Linked DNA regions of Kluyveromyces lactis. The protein of the gene in region 1 interacts with the protein of each later gene in a biochemical or structural test. Links are inferred from orthologs where the notes say so. Each region holds a gene or a part of one and is shown on either strand. Other genes may lie near its edges.

Region 1 (8,437 bases):
CGATATTGACGGGACCGAATCCATCCACGTCTTTACAAGCGGAGACACGTGACGTGATTTTATCCTCGTTTAAATGTGCAGGAAGAGGTAGCTGAACCAAGATCCCGTGCACTGAATCATCGCTATTTTCATCGTCGATCTGACCGAGCAATTCCACTTCGGTGACAGTTTCATCCAAATGGATAAATTTAACATCGATTCCAGCATCTTTAGCAGCCTTTAACTTCATCTTAACATAAGTGTTCGAATCAGGTCTGTTTCCAACTTGGAAAATGGTCAAAGTGGGACGGAAAACTGCATATTTCTCCTTTAAACTAGAGATTTCATCCTTAATCTCATCGCGAATGCCATTGGCAATAGCTTTACCGTCGATGATAGCCATAATTTCCGAATAATGTATGGGTATAGAACCTTGCGTGATGATGCTTCTCGAAAACTTTAAACTGGATTAGAGTTGGATTCTCGAAACAAAAATAGATCACCTCTTGCTGTATATATATATATAGTCAGCCCAGCGATGAATATAACCCCGACACTGACCAATTGAGCTATCAAGCAATTGATGAACACGATAAAGAGACCTGAATGTGAAAGGTAGGGCCATTCCAATGGTTTCTGCATCGTTTAGGTACCATTTGATTCCATTTTCATTTTTCACAGTTCAACAAGTCAAAAAAGGATATTCATGTCACGTGACATGCATGAGAGATACGTTCCAACACCTTGGAACGGTAAGGACGAGCAGTATATGGCTTGTATGTCACTTGAATGCAAGCAAAATACAAGTTACGTATCAAGGGTCTTCTTGTTCACTAGCGGAATGTTTGTATAAGTACCTATGAATCAACTCATATGTATGGCTTCATGTATCTGACTCTGACGCGCGTCACGCGTCAGAGTCAAATCTTCTCTTTCGGACCAAATGATTCCCTCAGAAATTGCTGTACGATACCGGCATTCGGCATTGTTTTTTTGACTGGGAAAACGTATCACGTGAATATCACGTGAATAAAGGCTGTTTCCTGAATTCTGAGTCTCTGTAGTTAAGACACTTGTGATAGAATGATTACTTTCAGGTTGGAAAGATGAAAGAGTGATAGAATGGTTCATTCAAATGCTACATACTCCGATGTACCACCAATACAGTTAGTGATATATTATATGGGACAGTGTTTTCAAAGCGCACAACTGAGTCTTTTACCCAATAACAGCACATTTCCAGACTCACATCACGTGACTGAATTGTCACATTCACTCATTTATATATAACGGGAAAATGAATTGAATGGGAATTGAACTGAACAGTAACAGCAGGTGACAATTTAACTACACTGTACATATTATGTCTCCATTATTGTGATATATAACCCAATCTTATAATTTATCTACCCCACAATTTCGTCATGGCAGGTACAGGACTTCCAGAACCCTGGGTTATCAAGTTTAGTAGATCGAAGAAACGTGAATACTTCTTCAACCCGGAGACTAAGGAATCGGTTTGGGAGGCACCGTCAGGTACAGATGAGGACCAATCAAAGAAATACTTAGAGGAGAACCCATTGAGGGTCAGAGCTTTGCATCTCTTGATTAAGCACAAGGATTCTAGAAGACCAGCGTCTCATAGAAATGAAAATATTACCATTACTAAGGATGAGGCTAAAGAAGAATTAGAAACTTATATCAAGAGATTGAATGGTGGTGAACCATTCGAATCATTGGCTAAAGAGAGAAGTGATTGTTCATCAGCGAAAAGAGGTGGTGATTTGGGGTTCTTCGGTCATGGAGAAATGCAACCTTCTTTCGAGAAGGCTGCGTTTGCTTTGAAAATCGATCAAGTCAGTGATATTGTAGAATCTGACAGTGGTCTTCATATCATCAAAAGAGTTGCCTGAACAGGACTCTTCACCATAAATCGGGTTTATAGTTTTCTGTAACAGCTTCATCTAACCCATAATTCGATTGCCAGTAGTTAAACCCGCCTTTCAATACCCATATTTGGAACCTGTTCAACTGAGATTCTGGTATCGACCGTAAAAATAGCATAGCAGAGCTAGGACCTCTCTGTTGTGATTGTGCGCAATGGAAAACGCAGTTAATAATTTCTGATGCACCATCAGCTCCGATTTCAGCTTTATCAAGTAATTCTTGTCTCAATGTATCTACGTAATTCAGATCCGATTTAAGCCTTCTGTAAGGGTAGTTCCAGGATCCCTTGATATGTCCACCTATATGGTCTGAACCTCGAACATCAATGACTTGGAATGGTTGTCCTAGAGATGTGTGTCCTTGTTTAATCCACTGGTATAGGTCTATTGCGTCTAGATATTTCAATGAAGATATGGAATGCGATTGCATGATGAACTTACGTTGCAAAAAAAGCTTCAATCAACTGAGGATCCAGTAAAAAAGTGTCTATTTCGAGGACCGTGATTCGCTGCTATTTGAATTAACCTTTCTATTCTCCTTCTTTTCTTTGATCGTTCACTTAGTTAAATGAGTGGTTAAAGTTAAAATGTCAACGAAATAGGGCATATAAAAGAGAGAGAGAGAGAAATGTATGTAAGTATACAACGGGTACAGGATACATATATGCGAACGAAGTAGAAATGATATCAAATAATAAAAAGTAAAACAACAAGTATATGAGGCGTTTCAATCGGTAGTTGGTGACCTTTCCCTGTCCCCTTCCTCTTCGTCGTCATCTTCATCTGAAAACAAATGATTCGGCGATTCAGAACTACCTCTATGCAGTTCAGGATCACTATCACTAGTTGGAGATTCAACCTCTTCACCAGTGTAGTCTTTCGCGAATTGAGTTACTGGGGATCTACCCGAAATCCTTTTACTTCTTCTAACGCTTTCATGACCCATGGGTCCAATAAGTTTTGAATACAACTTCTTTCCAAGTGTCTTTTTAAGAAGCATTTCTCTAACTTCGAAATACAAGTCCTTTGATGCGACGTTGACAGATTCTTGGTTCTTCTTGAAATACGATCTGAAATCTTGAATATGTTTCTTGAATTCCAATTCGTTCTTCTTCAACCAAGATACGTTCAACTCCTGTCTCGTGGCACCTCTTGCGAAATTTCTCATCAAGTACTTGTCATAGTCTCTGATGATCTTGGTGATAATATCACTGGTAGAAACACCTTCGGTACGTTGGGTAGTTAAAAACTTACCCATTGCTTTAATTGGTCTGTAGATATCGTCATTATCAGCACTAGCGTATGGTAGATCGTCATGTGCCACATAATCGATCTTGTGTTCTTCTAAAAATTTCGGCGTCACAGTCCATGGGGCATCCGGTATCACTTCATCAACCCATCTACAATGTGTCAACGTCTCGCATCTCTGCTTATCGGTAAGGACAGTCAACCCTTTCAACTTGTGCGTCACTTTATCGCTTGGAACACCACAAATCAACGTCACGTTGGGGAACGACTTCTTACACTGTTCCAATTGTTTCATATGACCCAAATGGAAAAGATCAAACACACCATCCGCATATATACGAATCGGACGATCTGTTGGTGGTAAATTGAACTTGAAGCCCTTAGGTCTAAACTTTCTATACTCAACAGGTAGCTCTTCATCCAACTCCTTTTCCCTGGCCTTGAAATCATTTGTTTCAGAGTGTGGTCTTTTCCGCAAAGGACCTTCCGATTCCTCAGTCTCTGCATCTTCGCTGGTTGTTGTTGTTGTTTCAGATACAATCGATGCTGCTGCATCTGGTGCAGTATCGTTACTTTCTACTCGTTCATCGTCACTTACTGTCATCTCATCGTGGGACCTTTTCTTTCCCAATTTGAACAGGTTAGTGAAAGAAGCACCTGTACTAGAAAGACGTTCTTTCAAGGAAGGAGCACGAGTAAGCGGAGCCATTGTGTGATATTAGTCTAGTATGCTAAAGAAAATGTCTGTTAGAAGGTTACCAGTGCGTGCTTGCTATTCTCATTGAACGAAAGGTGTCTAAATTCAATAAACCCTAACACTAAAAACACTCAATTATAAATTCAATTGTTTCAAAGTTACCAAATTACAATTCAAAACCGTGTTACCACTACCAATTCAACCATAATCAACCATCAGTCAAACCGTGAGCATGTCAAAACTCTGAGTTGAAGACCTAAACTTATGTCTATTCGATGCTTAATTTCTGTGAAACTTTTTTGTTCTTTGGACGCATTGTGGTAGGTCAAGTGGGACCATTATTTTTCACATGGGAGAAGTATAAACATACCACGTGATATAAACAAAGGCCGGGTAAATAATATTATTTATTCACAGTAACAAATATATAAACAGCTAATGGGCGGTTAAACGGTGGTTAAAACTCTGGCAGTAACATGTGACAAAGCAGAGTGCGGCAACCACCTCTACAAGTCAAAGTGTATTTCAGCTGATGTGGGACGCCAAGTATGAGTAGTATTTGCACCAGATGAATTATGTGGGATTTACTGGGGAGAAGAAGAAGGTTGGTTCATAAGTTGGAGTCACGTGACGTATACAGTCACGTGACATAAATATTCATTTAACCACAGAAGTTAGATGAACTGCCATCAGGCGCCTGGCAATCACCTTTGCAACCAATTATACACCTGCTGCTCGAGCAACACAAACGGATTAGAGCTCTTGATGACTCCTTCATGTAACCACACAGAGTATGCACCCATTGTGTTAGCCATTACCACATCGGTGAATAACCTGTCACCCACCACTGCGACCTCGGATGGATCTTCACATACCTTGCTTTTCTTGAAGTAGGCCATGATTTCGACATGGCATCCTGGTTTCTTAATCGAATGCAAGAGCACTGGTACGCCAGTGCTCTTCTCCAGTGTCTTCGCCTGAATGTGTCCAATATCATCGTTCGTGCCTGCACTGTTACTGACGATTAGCAACTTTTTCCCCGGGTACAACTGTTTCAATTTATCCCATTGTTCTTGATATTCAGGCCATACTTTGTCGTCATGTGGTTTTGCGAAACAGTTGTCCTTATCAAGGACTATGGCTTTGATGTGACTCGGTAAAGGTAATTGTATCTCATTGAAATTCGCATACTTTATACTGGGAATGCATAGTTTAGGATCTTTGAACAATCTGGCTACGTTCAAAGTAGCGCTTAAATTGAACCCTACAACCATTTCCCAAGGGCTGATGCAACAGAATGGTATGAGGTCGGTCAGTTAGCCTTATTACAGCAGAATTGAACCACCATCCATCGCTAACGCCTATAAATGCCTTGAAAAAAAATTTGTATAATATCAAAAAAGTTGCGAAATGAAGTTTCCACTTCCGAAAGAGTTAACATTAGTAAGTTTACAGATGGGCCTGAGCACTCAATCAGACCAAATAAAGGATCTCTTTTATTGTAGAGCATAGATGTCTTCTAACCAGGGAATTTCTACGGCGTCTGCGCCAATTCGGAGAGCGCAGGGCCCGTCTACATCAAATCGTGGAAGGAAAAGAGGAAATGGCAACCAGAATCATCATGCCACCACCAGCGGTAGCACTGGAAATAGCAGTTCGGTGCATCCAGATTGGAATCCTGTAACTGGCAGCTCAAATAAATGGGCTGGCATTAACGGCAATGAGAAATCTATGGGGACTGGCAATGGGACAGATGATGATGACTCAAGCAACGTGTGTCTGATATGTGCCGAAAAATTGCATATCATTGCCCTATCACCGTGCAACCATCCTACTTGTCACAAGTGTTGTTTAAGACAAAGAGCGTTGTACGAAAAGAAACAGTGTTTGTTCTGTAGAAGTGAAGTTGAGGATATCATCTTCACGGATAAGATAAAAGAAACTTATGAGCATTTGGATAAGAAGGCCAAATTGGAATTCAAGAACGAGAAATTGGGGATACGGTTTACCAGCAAAAATGTTATGAATGATGCTATGAATCTTTTGAAATACGTCTCACCGTTTGGAGATGCCAATAAAGATTTTGGATCGTTTAAGAAGTTGAACGAATTCTTGAGACAAGAACATAATAAGACAATATGTATGATTTGTGCTGGGCATAAAAAAGCGTTCCCCGGCGAGTTAAAAGTTATGACTGTTAAGCAATTAAAGATACACGAAAGTCGTGGCGACCCTAAGGATGGATTTAAAGGCCATCCTATGTGTGGATTTTGCTCTGGTAAAAGGTTCTACTCTGACGATGAGCTTTATAAGCACATGAAACTTTCCCATGAAAGATGTCATATCTGTGATCAACTAGACCCATCACAACCGCAATATTTCAAAAACTATGAGGACTTATTCGAACATTTCAAATCAGCCCATTACGTATGCACGGTACCGTCCTGCCTCGATGCCAAATTTGTCGTCTTCAGTGATGAGTTGGACTTAAGAGCACATATCATCAAAGAACATCCTCATCTTGCAGGTGATAGCAGAAGAGCTATGACGTTGATAGATAATACCTCAAAGAAGTTCAGATCACAAATTACTACGTTCTCCAATCCAACAAGAATTATAGATGCACAGAATGAGGAATCAAATTCTGCAAACTCAAGAGATGTCAAAAGGAGGAGAATGGAACAAAGAGCAAGACATTACCTTGGGAACTCTGAACCAGACTTCCAGTCCTTCTTAATCATCAATGACCTATTTAACAAAAACGAAATTTCTGCTCAAGAGCTTCAATCCAAATATGAAGACTTGTTTAAGCAACACGCGGATGATATACAATTACTAATTTACGATTTATCGGAGTTATATCATTCAACTTCGGATAAACACAAAAGATTGCGTGCTATATACGAAGGCATTATGAAGAAGAAAGAGAATGCAGGGAAATTCAAACCTCTCGTCGCCGATTCATCATCTTCGGTTAACGTAGTTTATGGTAAATGGGGTAAAAAGAGTTCTTCTGGTGTTGGCGGGTCGAACGTGAAGTTCACGTCTCTACCAGCTGTATCCGAACCTATATTCTCCTCCAAAGCCTCGTATACTAATTTGCGGAAAAATGGCTCTTCTTCACCGTCCTCTCCAGTTATTAGGAGCGGTTTGACTTCCAATTCATCGTCATCAACTTCTTTAAACTATGCGAAGAAGAATCAATCACCGCCAGGTTCTTCAACCGTTGTAGTGAATTCACAACCGAATGTGACAGCTATCAAATCACCTAATCCAACCAGCTTCCCCAAGTTACAAGCTACTAAGAAAAAATTTGTTGCACCTCCAGTGAAACAGACTACCATACCAAACCCATCCACTTGGGGTAAGCCTCAAAACGACAACGATTCTATCAACTTGGATTCGTTAGACAATGCATTACCAGCTAGTGGTAGTAAGAAAAAGAGCAAACAAAAACAACTACTGTTCCATATTGGCATATAGATTTAACCCCGTTATATACAGCAGATTGTTTTAATAATACAAGAAAGCTCGCTGAAACATTTAGATATTCTTCTAAGCTTTATCTAACAGGTATCGTCAGCTGTCTCGGACACCTTTGCCTGCATAATGGACACTCCTGTCTTTCTAACGTCCATTCCATGATACAATCCCAGCAGAAAAGGTGACCACACGGAGTCGCGCTGGGATCCAGCATATAGTTAAGACATAAAACACACTTACGTGAATCCTCTTTGATGAAAGGTAGGACTTCTAGATCGCTAAGATCTTTTGAGGTGTGTTTTTTAGCTAATGCACTTAAACTCTTGTGGCTCTTCCCATCATCTGTTCCAATTCTGTCAGCGATGTATTCTGCAATCTGCGGTAAAAGCTTAGAAGCTAATTGCATACCAAGTATAAAACCAAGAATCTTGTAGTTTTGCGATGACTTCTTCTTGAATTCTACCTCATTCTTGTTCATTTCATGGCCAACCACATATCTCATTCCAAATATTCTCTTTGAGATATCATAATACTGTCCGCTCAAGTAGAATATAATTAAGTGCAAATTCAAAGTGGAATCCAAGATGTCCCTGAAACTCTTGCCATTGAATACTTTCAAGAAACCAGATCCCCTCTCATTGAGCTTATACTTGTAGAATACTTTCGATAATATCCACGGTACCCCACAATAACTGATAGCGAAACCAATCCTTCGCAGGAGTCTCGCAACACCTTTTCCTCGCCTATCAACATACGCCAAATCAACGTACTCTTCTCCAAGCGTTCTCCTATACCTTAGTGTTGTAATTGACAAGTATATCAACTTGCTGAGGATCATTATCTCACTAACATACCTGTTAGTGAACTGTTGTCCCTTAACTTTCCGTAGTACATCCTGGATCTTTTGTAACAGCAAGTTTTCCACAGTATCATCCTTTTGATGCGCCTGAACTATACTAGGTGCATCAGCAAATGGGAACTTCATGTCTGGTGCCATTGCTTGTCTCTCGTCAGTTTGTGTTCTTATTCGTTTTTGAAGATGTTAGATGGTTGAAATTGATCAATTGGAGAAATGAAGTTTTAT
Region 2 (10,140 bases), on another chromosome or scaffold:
TAAAACTGAAATTATACTTGAACTAAAAGTTGTACAATTCCAATAGCGAAGAGAGAAGGAGCAGGAAGTAATTGGAAAAGGGCCAAATCACGGAGAATACCTGATTTCACAGAAACAAAGCAAATCCTTCTTTAATTCCTGAATTGGGATCGTATTAATTCCAATGATTGTGCTGTTTTCCACTGTTCATACTTTTTTTTTGGCCCAAAATTGGACTTTTATGTGGGACTGCATCGATGTTTCTTCGTTTTTTTTTTCCTGTTTCTCTATATGATTCCCGGACTATATAGGAGATTATGAAAGAAAGGAAAAAGCTTAAGGACATTTTCTTAGGCGACACAGAGTAACTGAGGGGAATTAATCAGAGCACCGGCAGTACATTGCGTTTCCCACTACTGATCTACAGTCAGTTGCCAGTTCAATTACGTTTTGTCGCATACGGTTACGATAATATACTCAGAATATACACAGAGAAGAAGACAGGATACGAAGGCATCTAGAAAGGCTTCATGTAAAGATGAACAGAACTAAACTGGCACAATTACCCAAGGTAATCGGAACTGCCAGCGCAGAACAATGACAAGTTCATTTTTCTACTTTCCAAATATTACGATCTCTGCTATAATTGTATGTTCCTGTGTTAACTGTAGCGAACCATAACTACGTAAGTGTTTGGTGTCAAATAAGAGTATGGAAGAAGGTCCTTATTTTTTTTGTCAAAGTAGATAGTCGGACGTCAGTGAAGCTTAAACGGTTCGAATCCCTCGAGCTTCAGTTGGGCAGTTTCTTGTCAGCTCGGTCATTTTCGGGAAGTGGATTCCACCATTTTCGAAAGGAGCCAATGGTTTGTACGGCAGTTTCAAGGCCGGAGAAATGGAATCTCCGGGGAAATTAACCAATCCGGCGGAAAGATGAAAAACAAAAAAAACTCTTACAAATAGCACCAGAAAGTAGAGAGGCAACAGAAAAAAGTAGGAATATATACAATGACCTTCTCCTGTTCAGCGCGTGAAACATCTTTCTCCGGGGTAGACCGGAATATAACATGTTCAAGCCGCTCTTTGAAGCGTTTACTCACTTTCCTTCAGGGTCTGTCGTTAATTCCCTAACACGCTCCCGGATTTTTCATTTTTTTTGAAACTTTATGTGGGGTAAGTCATTTCAACAGCGGGGGCACGGGACGAAGAAAATGATTCCGGAGCTGCCTGGAGTTGTCGCAGATGTGATCTGGTCGTTGGAAAAACTAAAACTTCATCTTTGACAGCGCCGTGGCGCAGTGGAAGCGCGCAGGGCTCATAACCCTGATGTCCTCGGATCGAAACCGAGCGGCGCTATTTTTTGATTTTTTTTTTATTCGTAGCTAATCCTGCCGTCATCTCTCTTTCTGGTCTGCGAAACTGAAAACCAAAAAAACCTGAAAATGAAGAAGTGAGATGAATAGGCTCATCTCATCTTCAGCATACTAACAATTTTTATTGTTATATAAAGGAACTCCTCTCTGAAGCAATCTCTCAAGAATAAGTGAATGTCTACTGAAACTGCACAAGAGGAGCTGCTTGCGCGTCATCGCAAGGAACGTAAAGATTTGACCAATCAGATTACTTCTTTGAAGAAGCAAGCATCAAAGAAGACGAGGAAGCAAGTAAATGCCAAATGTACAGACTTAGAACAGGAACTTGATACTCGACATAAATCAGAGCTCGCAAAGTTGAACGGTGTTGCTTTTGAGCATTCTGATTCGGAAGAAATCACACCAGCTCAATTATTAGCTCAATTGTCCTTAGATCAAGATCCTGTGCAATCTGTTTGTAAAACCGATGAGTTGCAACAGCGAGAACCAGAGTTACAGGGAAAGAAACGTAGGAATAGACAAAAGGAGCGATTGGCAAAAAGGGATGCAGAGGTTGCAAGAATTAAACAACAGGCAATGGAAGAGGCAGCCGAGCAGCCGAACTTGAAAGATATTGAGCAAAACTCTTTGGATAAAGTTTGTGTAGTGCTAAATTTGAAACAATTCGATATCCAGCCGGATGGACACTGTTTGTTTAATAGTATTCTAGATCAACTGAGGCTCCGCCATCAGACTAATAATGACATTGAGTATGATTATAACTTTCCAGAGGAATATACAGGTACCAAGTACGTGTCTGAAATGGACGTCTATTCGTTGAGATCGCTTTCATCATCATTCATTAGGGAGAACCGTGACGATTTCATCCCATATCTTTTCGATGAAAATACAATGACCGTAAAGGATCTTGATGAGTATACAAAAACTATGGAAACTACAGCCCAATGGGGTGGAGAAGTAGAAATTTTGGCACTATCAAAAGTTTTTAACAGTACCATTAGCATTTTGATGTCAGGAAGATCCACTTACAGGATAAATGAAGACGCGAAGAATCCCGAACTCAAGATCGTATACTACAAACATTCGTATACGCTCGGAGAGCATTATAACTCGTTGCATGATCTGTAGTTTTACTATCAATAGTTGGTTCGTATTGTCTTATTGTAGAAGTTCGATTTCACATCTCATCCCATCATTTGTTTTTTTTTTTCAGATTCTGTCAATATAAGATACATTGAGTAATCAAATCTTGAAATAGTTCATAATACTTAAATTTCAATCAACTGACCTCAATGCAAGGTATTGCCTTGTGCCAACATACATGCATCTAATTCACCAATCTATAAAACGGTTTTATACCGTACTGGGACGACCTTCAAATAATCTAGCTTCAGGCATCGTTGGATTGGCCAATGTAGGTAAATCAACGTTTTTCCAGGCAATAACCAAGTCGAAATTGGGTAATCCAGCTAACTACCCTTTTGCCACTATAGAACCCGAAGAGTCCAAGGTTATTGTACCCAGCTTTAAATTGGACCATCTTCATAAACTCTATGAGAGTCAGAAGAAAATTCCAGCTACACTTTCCATTTTCGATATTGCTGGATTAACAAGAGGAGCATCAAGTGGGGAAGGTTTGGGAAACAAGTTCCTTAATGATATTCGGCACGTAGACGGAATATACCAAGTGGTTCGAGGATTTGAAAATGATGAAATTACTCATATTGAAGGAAATGTGGATCCAGTTAGAGACTTGTCATTAGTGCAAGATGAACTGGTGCTGAAAGATCTCGAATGGCTGGAAGGTGCAAGAGAAAGAATTAACAAAAAGATAAACAGATCTCCGAAAAACTCTCCAGAATTCTTAGAAATGCATCTTGAACTGAGATTGCTAGAGGAATTAGAGGCCCATATGTACGAGGGAAGAAAATTGTCACACTTCAAGCAGAACTGGACAGAGGAAGAGATTAAAATCCTGAATAAACACAACTTTCTAACAGCTAAACCAACCCTGGTTCTACTTAACGTTGCTCCCAAAGATTATCTTTTGCAAGAAAACAAATTCTTGAAGAAAATCAAGGATTGGATCCAAGAATATGCGCCTGGAGACGAAGTGATGCTGTTTAGTGCTGAACTTGAAACGAAGTACAACGAATTGGACAACAATCTCCAAGAATTTGAGGCTTTTTGCAAAGAGATCATCGGTAAAGAGAAGTTGGAAGTACCTCTGACAGCACTCCCAAATATTATCATCAAAATGAGAGAGTTATTGCAATTGATCAGTTTTTACACCTGTGGACCAATTGAGGCTCGTCAATGGACCATTAGGAAAGGAACGTTGGCACCAGAAGCTGCTGGAACTATCCATAGTGATTTAGAAAAGACATTTATCAGTGCTAACATTATAAAATTCGATGATATCAAAAAAATGGATCCTCCGCTTCAAGAGTCGCAATTGAAGTCTCAAGGGAAGATCAAAAGAGGCGGTAAACAATATGTGGTCGAAGACGGTGATATAATCCACTTCAAAGCTACTAGTGGTAAAAAATAATAGAGGCTATACCCATAGCAACACAAGATAATAGACTCAAAGGCGTACATACTGCAAGAATATAAGCTTTGTAAAGATCCGACATGTATAAAGAATAAAGTAAAGGCATTGTTTTCGTTTTCCATTGTATTACTAGTGATTATCAGAGCGTTTGACAGGTATCTCTTCTCATTTCTAATGATCGAAGAGCTGGGTTTATAGCATTGTCACTAAGGACATTTTCTCATCATTAAACTAATTATGGAGAAGCCCTCTCCTCTATCTTCAATGTCTTTCCTAGCGGAAGTACACGATGCTTCTGCTGAAGCACCTAAGTAACTTGATCTTAGTGGTTTAAATTCGATTACCGAATGCTTCGAGTATGGAAACGATCCGCATTTAATCTGAATGGTATTTTTAATCGATCTTTGTCAAGTATCAAGTTGCATCAATGTGTTCGAGTTCTTATACATTTGAAAGAAAACTTCAAAAAAAAAAAATTCGAAAAGAAAAAAAAAAACACATCCAAACTGGCGTTCATGAAATTCTTACATGAATTAGGGTTACAAAGTGATGTGGAAGAAAGGCCATTTGCAGAAGTCTCTGCTTCGAGTTGTCAGCTTGAATGCCTTGCTTTGAAGTCCCATGATTAAAATCATATTCCATTAAAAAAATATGTACGAATTATACACAAAGGATGGAGGGCACTAACACATGACAACAAAAAAGTTACTCATTCAAGCAACCAATAAACCAGACAGTAACCAAACAAATATGAGTGAGATGTTGGTAGAGGATATGATTATTTTTTAACCACTGATAGTAGAATAGAGGTACACGATAAACTACCCTACCTAGAGTGGGTTGTCATTTTTTGAAGTGTCAGAAAAAGGTTCCATCCTATATTGAACACAATTGACCATACTTTATAGGAGTCTTACTATAATCTTAGAGAATGAGGATACAAGAGCTTTCTTGAGACCTGGATATCGAATAAAAGTAAAATAAAAAAATTTGAATTCAAGGTATGTCGGTAGAAAACTCAAAGGATGTGCAGTAAATCTGGTCAACACTTTAGTTTCCTGCCCGTTATTCATTGAATGCCAATTTGATATTGACAATACATCATTATCGGTGCGTTTAGGCAGCGATGATGACTTCGACATCCACACCAGGTTCAATGGTGATTTGGGTGATTCTCTTGACGATGTGAGCTGGAGCTTCCAAGTCGATGTATCTCTTGTGGATTCTCATTTCGTAAGTATCCCAAGTCTTAGAACCTTCACCGTTAGGGGTCTTTCTGGTGGAGATCTTCAAGACCTTAGTAGGTAATCTGACTGGACCCTTCTTGACCAACTTGAAAGTTTCAGCATTCTTGATGATGTTGGCAGAAACGTTTTCCAATTGCTTGACCTTAGTGGAGGTCAAGTTAATTCTGATCTTGTGGATCACAACTTCTTGTTGTTGTTCAGATTTCTTTTCAACTTGAGACATCGTGTATACCTTTTAGTTTTATTGGTTTCTTATGACATGAATAGACTTAATATCTAATTGTAAGTAACCTTAACAATACCATGCTAATGCTCATCTATCTTGGAGAGCTTAGAATTTCAACTTCGGAGCACTAGCTTGTCGACATCATAGAACATCATGAAATTTTCATATAGTATTCTGTTTTAGGAAAGAGAGGATGATTATATCAAAAAAGTAGAATCCCATGGCATATATGTACGGGTGTATAAAGAATGAGCAGTCCCCGGTAATATCCGTCGGAGGTGCGACGGAGATTCTTGAACATTAAGGATCAATCGTTGCCAGAATAACGAAACAGGTCAATTGCAAAAGATAAGAATGCCTTTTTTGTGCAAACTAACGTTCCAATACACTTAGGATTGAATTAAGGATAATGTATGTGTACCATCCACGAAGTATATAAATACACTCATTAGTGAATGAAATAGTTCTATCCCAGTTGATACTTCGCTTAAACTAATTCTGATGGCATTGTATATTATCTCCCGTTGAAACTGTCAAAAACCAACATACTGGCTATTTATCATGACACACACAGAATGCGAAGACTTGGAGTACTTAAGATCCATTCAATCCGTTAGGGAAACTTGTAAGAAAGTATACGGCCCCCCTTTGCAAACAGAAAATGGTGACAGTACACATTTTGAAGTGGATCTGGGTAAAATGTCGAAAGTGACAGATTACTTGGTCAATATTATTGAAAGAGATTACAAGAACCTAGGCGATATTCCTGTTCATGGAAGATGGCAACATTTAAACTGTAACGGTATTGATAGAATGGGATCTCTCATTAATTCCTGGGCTGCCCAGAACATCGATCCTTTGGAGGTATGCAGACGGTTGATTGATTTGATAACGTTTAGTGTGATTGTCGATGCTGGTGCAGGTTCAGAATGGTCTTTTGTTGAGAAAGAAACTAAGATTAACAGATCAGAAGGACTAGCGGTGGCCTCTTTCTATATGTTCAAAGATGGTGCCTTATCGCATGATAAATCTCAGACAGTACAAGGTTCTAGATTGAAAGACTTCAGTCAACAAGATTTTGATAAAGGGTTTCAGATAAGTAGTAAGAACTCTTTGCAAGGTTACGAAGGTAGAATTCAGTTGATCAGAAGTTTAGGGAAATCCCTTTCTGAAAGACCTGAGTTATTCGGTGAAGATGCCAGGCCTGGTAATATAATTGATCACCTTTACAAATTAAATGGCTCTGAAAACATTGATTTGCAACAGTTGTGGGAGGTTCTAATGACTGGATATACCTCTATATGGCCTACTGGAAGATTAACTCTGAACGGTGAACCTTTAGGCGATTGCTGGGTGTATAAAACCGAAAACGATGAAATTATCGTGTCATTTCATAAATTGACGCAGTGGTTATGTTATTCATTATTGAGACCACTAGAGGAATTTGGCTACAAGTTCAATATATCTTCCAAGGACTTGCAAACAGGTCTACCAGAGTACAGAAACGGGGGGTTGTTCTACGATTTGGGTGTACTATCTTTGAAAGAAGAATATTTGAACATTGGATTGACTAATTCGAAGAAGTATGGATATGATCCGTCAATCCCAACATTCACGCCCGATGATGGTGTAATTGTAGAATGGAGATGTCTTACCATTGGGCTCTTGGACATCTTGTTACCATTAGTAAACGATAAATTAGGTTCTAATTTACAATTGTCACAGTTGATAGAAGCTGGAACCTGGAAAGCTGGAAGAGAAATTGCCGCAGAACTTAGATCAAAAACATCTGGGCCACCGATCAATTTACACAGTGATGGCACAGTTTTTTGAAAGGCTCAAGCAATTAGAACAGTTGGCTCCAACTTTGCCATATCCTATCTTGAATGTCATGATTCTAGTTTATATTTATAAATGTTTCATAATTTTGATTTTTAAAAGTGACGTTAAGAACTGAAAAGAATAAACGGAGTAGATTTTTGTATCGATGTGTTGACATATTGCATTTTTTTATTTACGAATATAATTAGACGCTGCTTGACTATACACACGCACTTATACTATGAATTCAACATAAAGAAGAAACGCCCTTATGAAGAATAAATTATCAGTTCAGTGGCAACTTCTGACGATCATCTAGAAAAGTAATTTATTTTTGGTGGCACATTGTTTCCCTGATAAATTTGGATAAAATAGCCTTGGGAAAATAATTCCTTCAGGCTGATGGTTGCACCGGCTTTTTCTTATCGTTTTCATCATCTGAGAAATTTAGGTCTGCTTCATTTGGTTCAGATCCGGCTGGTTGTTCGTACTCTTGGTTCCATTCTTGTTCCAAAGATTGCAAATCGTCTAGATCGAAATCTGCAACATTTTCTGGATCTGTTGGCAATTGTTGCGACACAGCTAACATATAAGAAGTAGATGTAGGTCTCCATGTGAAGGAAAGAGCAACGAATACGGCATAATATACCAAGGATGGCCAGAAATCCACAAAGAAGAATCTAGTTCTCCAATGTTGTTCGACCATCTCGATACTACTCATACCGATTAAAACAAAAGAGGATAGAATTATACCACCAAAAATAACGAATAAGGCGACATAAAAAATAATTATCAATTTTTTGTACATGCCCAATTTAACGATTTGCTTTTGTTGCTTCAAGTATTTGACAGTTTGATCGAGGGATTGTAGAATCAAGAAGTAGAAAATCATGAAACAGATGCCTAATGGGATAAAGAAAAACAATGGGACCATGGATGTCGAATCTGAAGGAGTCATATAGTTTTGAATAAGGGCAGCGACAGATATAGCAAACGTAAGTACGGAGAAAAATTGAACACGTCTCATCGTGGTCTTGTTCAATTTAGGGTAAACCACACCGTAACCTTTGCAAATAACAAGAAGTAAGAATAGAGACATGGTGATCTTTGCAGAGTTCAAGATTGAAACAATGACCATGTAAACAGTGGTACCAGCGGTCGAACCCTTAGTGTTCTTCAAGTCATAGTAACCCCAAATGAAGATTGTATCAATGGTTAAAAACACAAATGCAGCCAGTAAATATTTTTGCAAGGGCAATAGTTCATGCTTGTGTTTCCAGAAGGCAAATAAGTACAAGGCCATAGCGACAACATAAAAGATTGCCAATAACCCATACAATGGCAATTTGTTAATTTCAGAAGCAGCTAGATTACCAAAACTATTCCTGAAATTTACCTCAGCCTTGTAAGAGATCCCAGTGTCCTTAGCGTAAGTACCAACACAATAGTAACCAGTTTTCTTAATGGCATATTTGTCCTTCACAAGACCTGTATTTCCCACATAGAACGTATGAATGTCGGCACTTAATGACTTTTCGGTATCACTATCTGGATCATACGCTTCAGGTGAAATGATAAACTGGTTCTTGTTCTTTTCTTGACATAGATTCTCTTTTATCGCTTCTTCGTCACAGATATACTTAACTACACCCGCTTTCGTCTTAGCCCCAATGTGGATGTAATCTTGGAAATCAAAGATCACCACAGAGATGCCTTCTTTGTTCAATTTCTTTAAATCGAACGAAATATATGGATCTACACGACCACTCCAATCCTCTTTAGAATACATACCACTGCAGATTTGATTCTGCTTCTCTGTGATAGTACCCTTATTGGCCGTCGCAAAATGCAACCAAAGGGCCGTACAAAACAAAGTGACCCAATTCAATTTGAAATTCATCGTATTGTCTATCAAAAGCTAATTATAGGCCTTTATTCTCTCCTTTTTCCTAGACTCTCAAGAAAAGATCGGCAATTAGTTTTATTTCGTCTCTTTAAGAATCACACAGCCTCGGATATAAAGTAGGGTCCACAATTCACAAGCTACCACTGGATAAGAATAAATAGCACACAATTGGAAAGAAAAACCTTGTTCTTGTACAGTCGGAAACCGTCTCAGTATATTTTGCTGCCTTCCATTAAATTTTGTTCTGTTACGATATCTAGTGGGTCATTTCTTGTAAAAGGGACCTTTTATTTTCTCATTTCTCTAAAATGTTCAATCCATAAATTATCTGAAAAAACGTAATTTTCAAGAGATTTCGAATTAAAGGAATTTCCTCTAGTATTACAAAGCACTCATCTTATGCTAAGATGATTAACAAGTGGTTTGTGCATATATAGAGAAAGGATGAGAAGTTGCAAGACAACGGATTGTAAACTGCGAGGATGTTAGGAAGGTTTAGTTTTGGTCCCAAGTTTTATAAGAGCGTACATCGAACGGTGTTGAATCCCGTATGGCAGAGGTCTATTCATATCAAGACACTTACAACGCCTAATGAGAATGCATTGAAATTTGTTTCCACAGATGGGGGGCTGCTACAGGAGAAAGGCACACAGAGTGTTGAGATCAAGAACACTGATGAGGAGCTTTTGAAACATGCTCCATTCCCATCTAAAGTGTTCCAGCAATGTCCTGGTGTTGAAGCAATGATGATCGGTGATGATTTCGTCACTATAAATAAAGATGAACTGATTCATTGGAACCAAGTGACTCCTACGGTGATAGATCTATTGGTACAACATTTAGCCAGTGGGAAGCCCACGTTTTTACCAGATTTCTTCGACGTGAAAAAGTCTTCCGAAGTTGGGTACGATGTGGACATTCCTAAATTTGAATACGATGAAGATGAGCAAGAGATCAGCGAGATGATCGATGAATTGATTCAGACAAGGATCAGACCTGCTATTATGGACGACGGTGGTGATATCCAGTACCGTG

Evidence for each region.
Region 2: of the proteins of HEL2 (region 1) and RPS20, one has a biochemical effect on the other in vitro, tested with the Saccharomyces cerevisiae proteins (3 studies listed by BioGRID). The link is inferred for Kluyveromyces lactis from reciprocal best matches to the Saccharomyces cerevisiae genes HEL2 and RPS20.

The regions. Positions count from the first base shown.
Region 1 is NC_006041.1:1,473,940-1,482,376, forward strand, and holds HEL2 (E3 ubiquitin-protein ligase HEL2), read left to right. Parts: upstream 1-5,382; coding exon 5,383-7,353; downstream 7,354-8,437. Other genes in the region: trifunctional formate-tetrahydrofolate ligase/methenyltetrahydrofolate cyclohydrolase/methylenetetrahydrofolate dehydrogenase ADE3, read right to left, coding at 1-382; peptidylprolyl isomerase ESS1, read left to right, coding at 1,404-1,892; phosphatase YCH1, read right to left, coding at 1,903-2,355; PCT1 (choline-phosphate cytidylyltransferase), read right to left, coding at 2,653-3,882; GEP4 (phosphatidylglycerophosphatase), read right to left, coding at 4,575-5,144; PEX10 (ubiquitin-protein ligase peroxin 10), read right to left, coding at 7,433-8,350. UniProt on the Saccharomyces cerevisiae protein: E3 ubiquitin-protein ligase that plays a key role in the ribosome quality control (RQC), a pathway that takes place when a ribosome has stalled during translation, leading to degradation of nascent peptide chains.
Region 2 is NC_006042.1:2,367,955-2,378,094, reverse strand, and holds RPS20 (40S ribosomal protein uS10), read right to left. Parts: upstream 5,376-10,140; coding exon 5,022-5,375; downstream 1-5,021. Other genes in the region: deubiquitinase OTU2, read left to right, coding at 1,526-2,479; YLF2 (Ylf2p), read left to right, coding at 2,673-3,902; KLLA0_F25520g (URC4/urg3 family protein), read left to right, coding at 5,940-7,211; KLLA0_F25498g (uncharacterized protein), read right to left, coding at 7,594-9,099; NFU1 (Nfu1p), read left to right, coding at 9,588-10,140. UniProt on the Saccharomyces cerevisiae protein: Component of the ribosome, a large ribonucleoprotein complex responsible for the synthesis of proteins in the cell.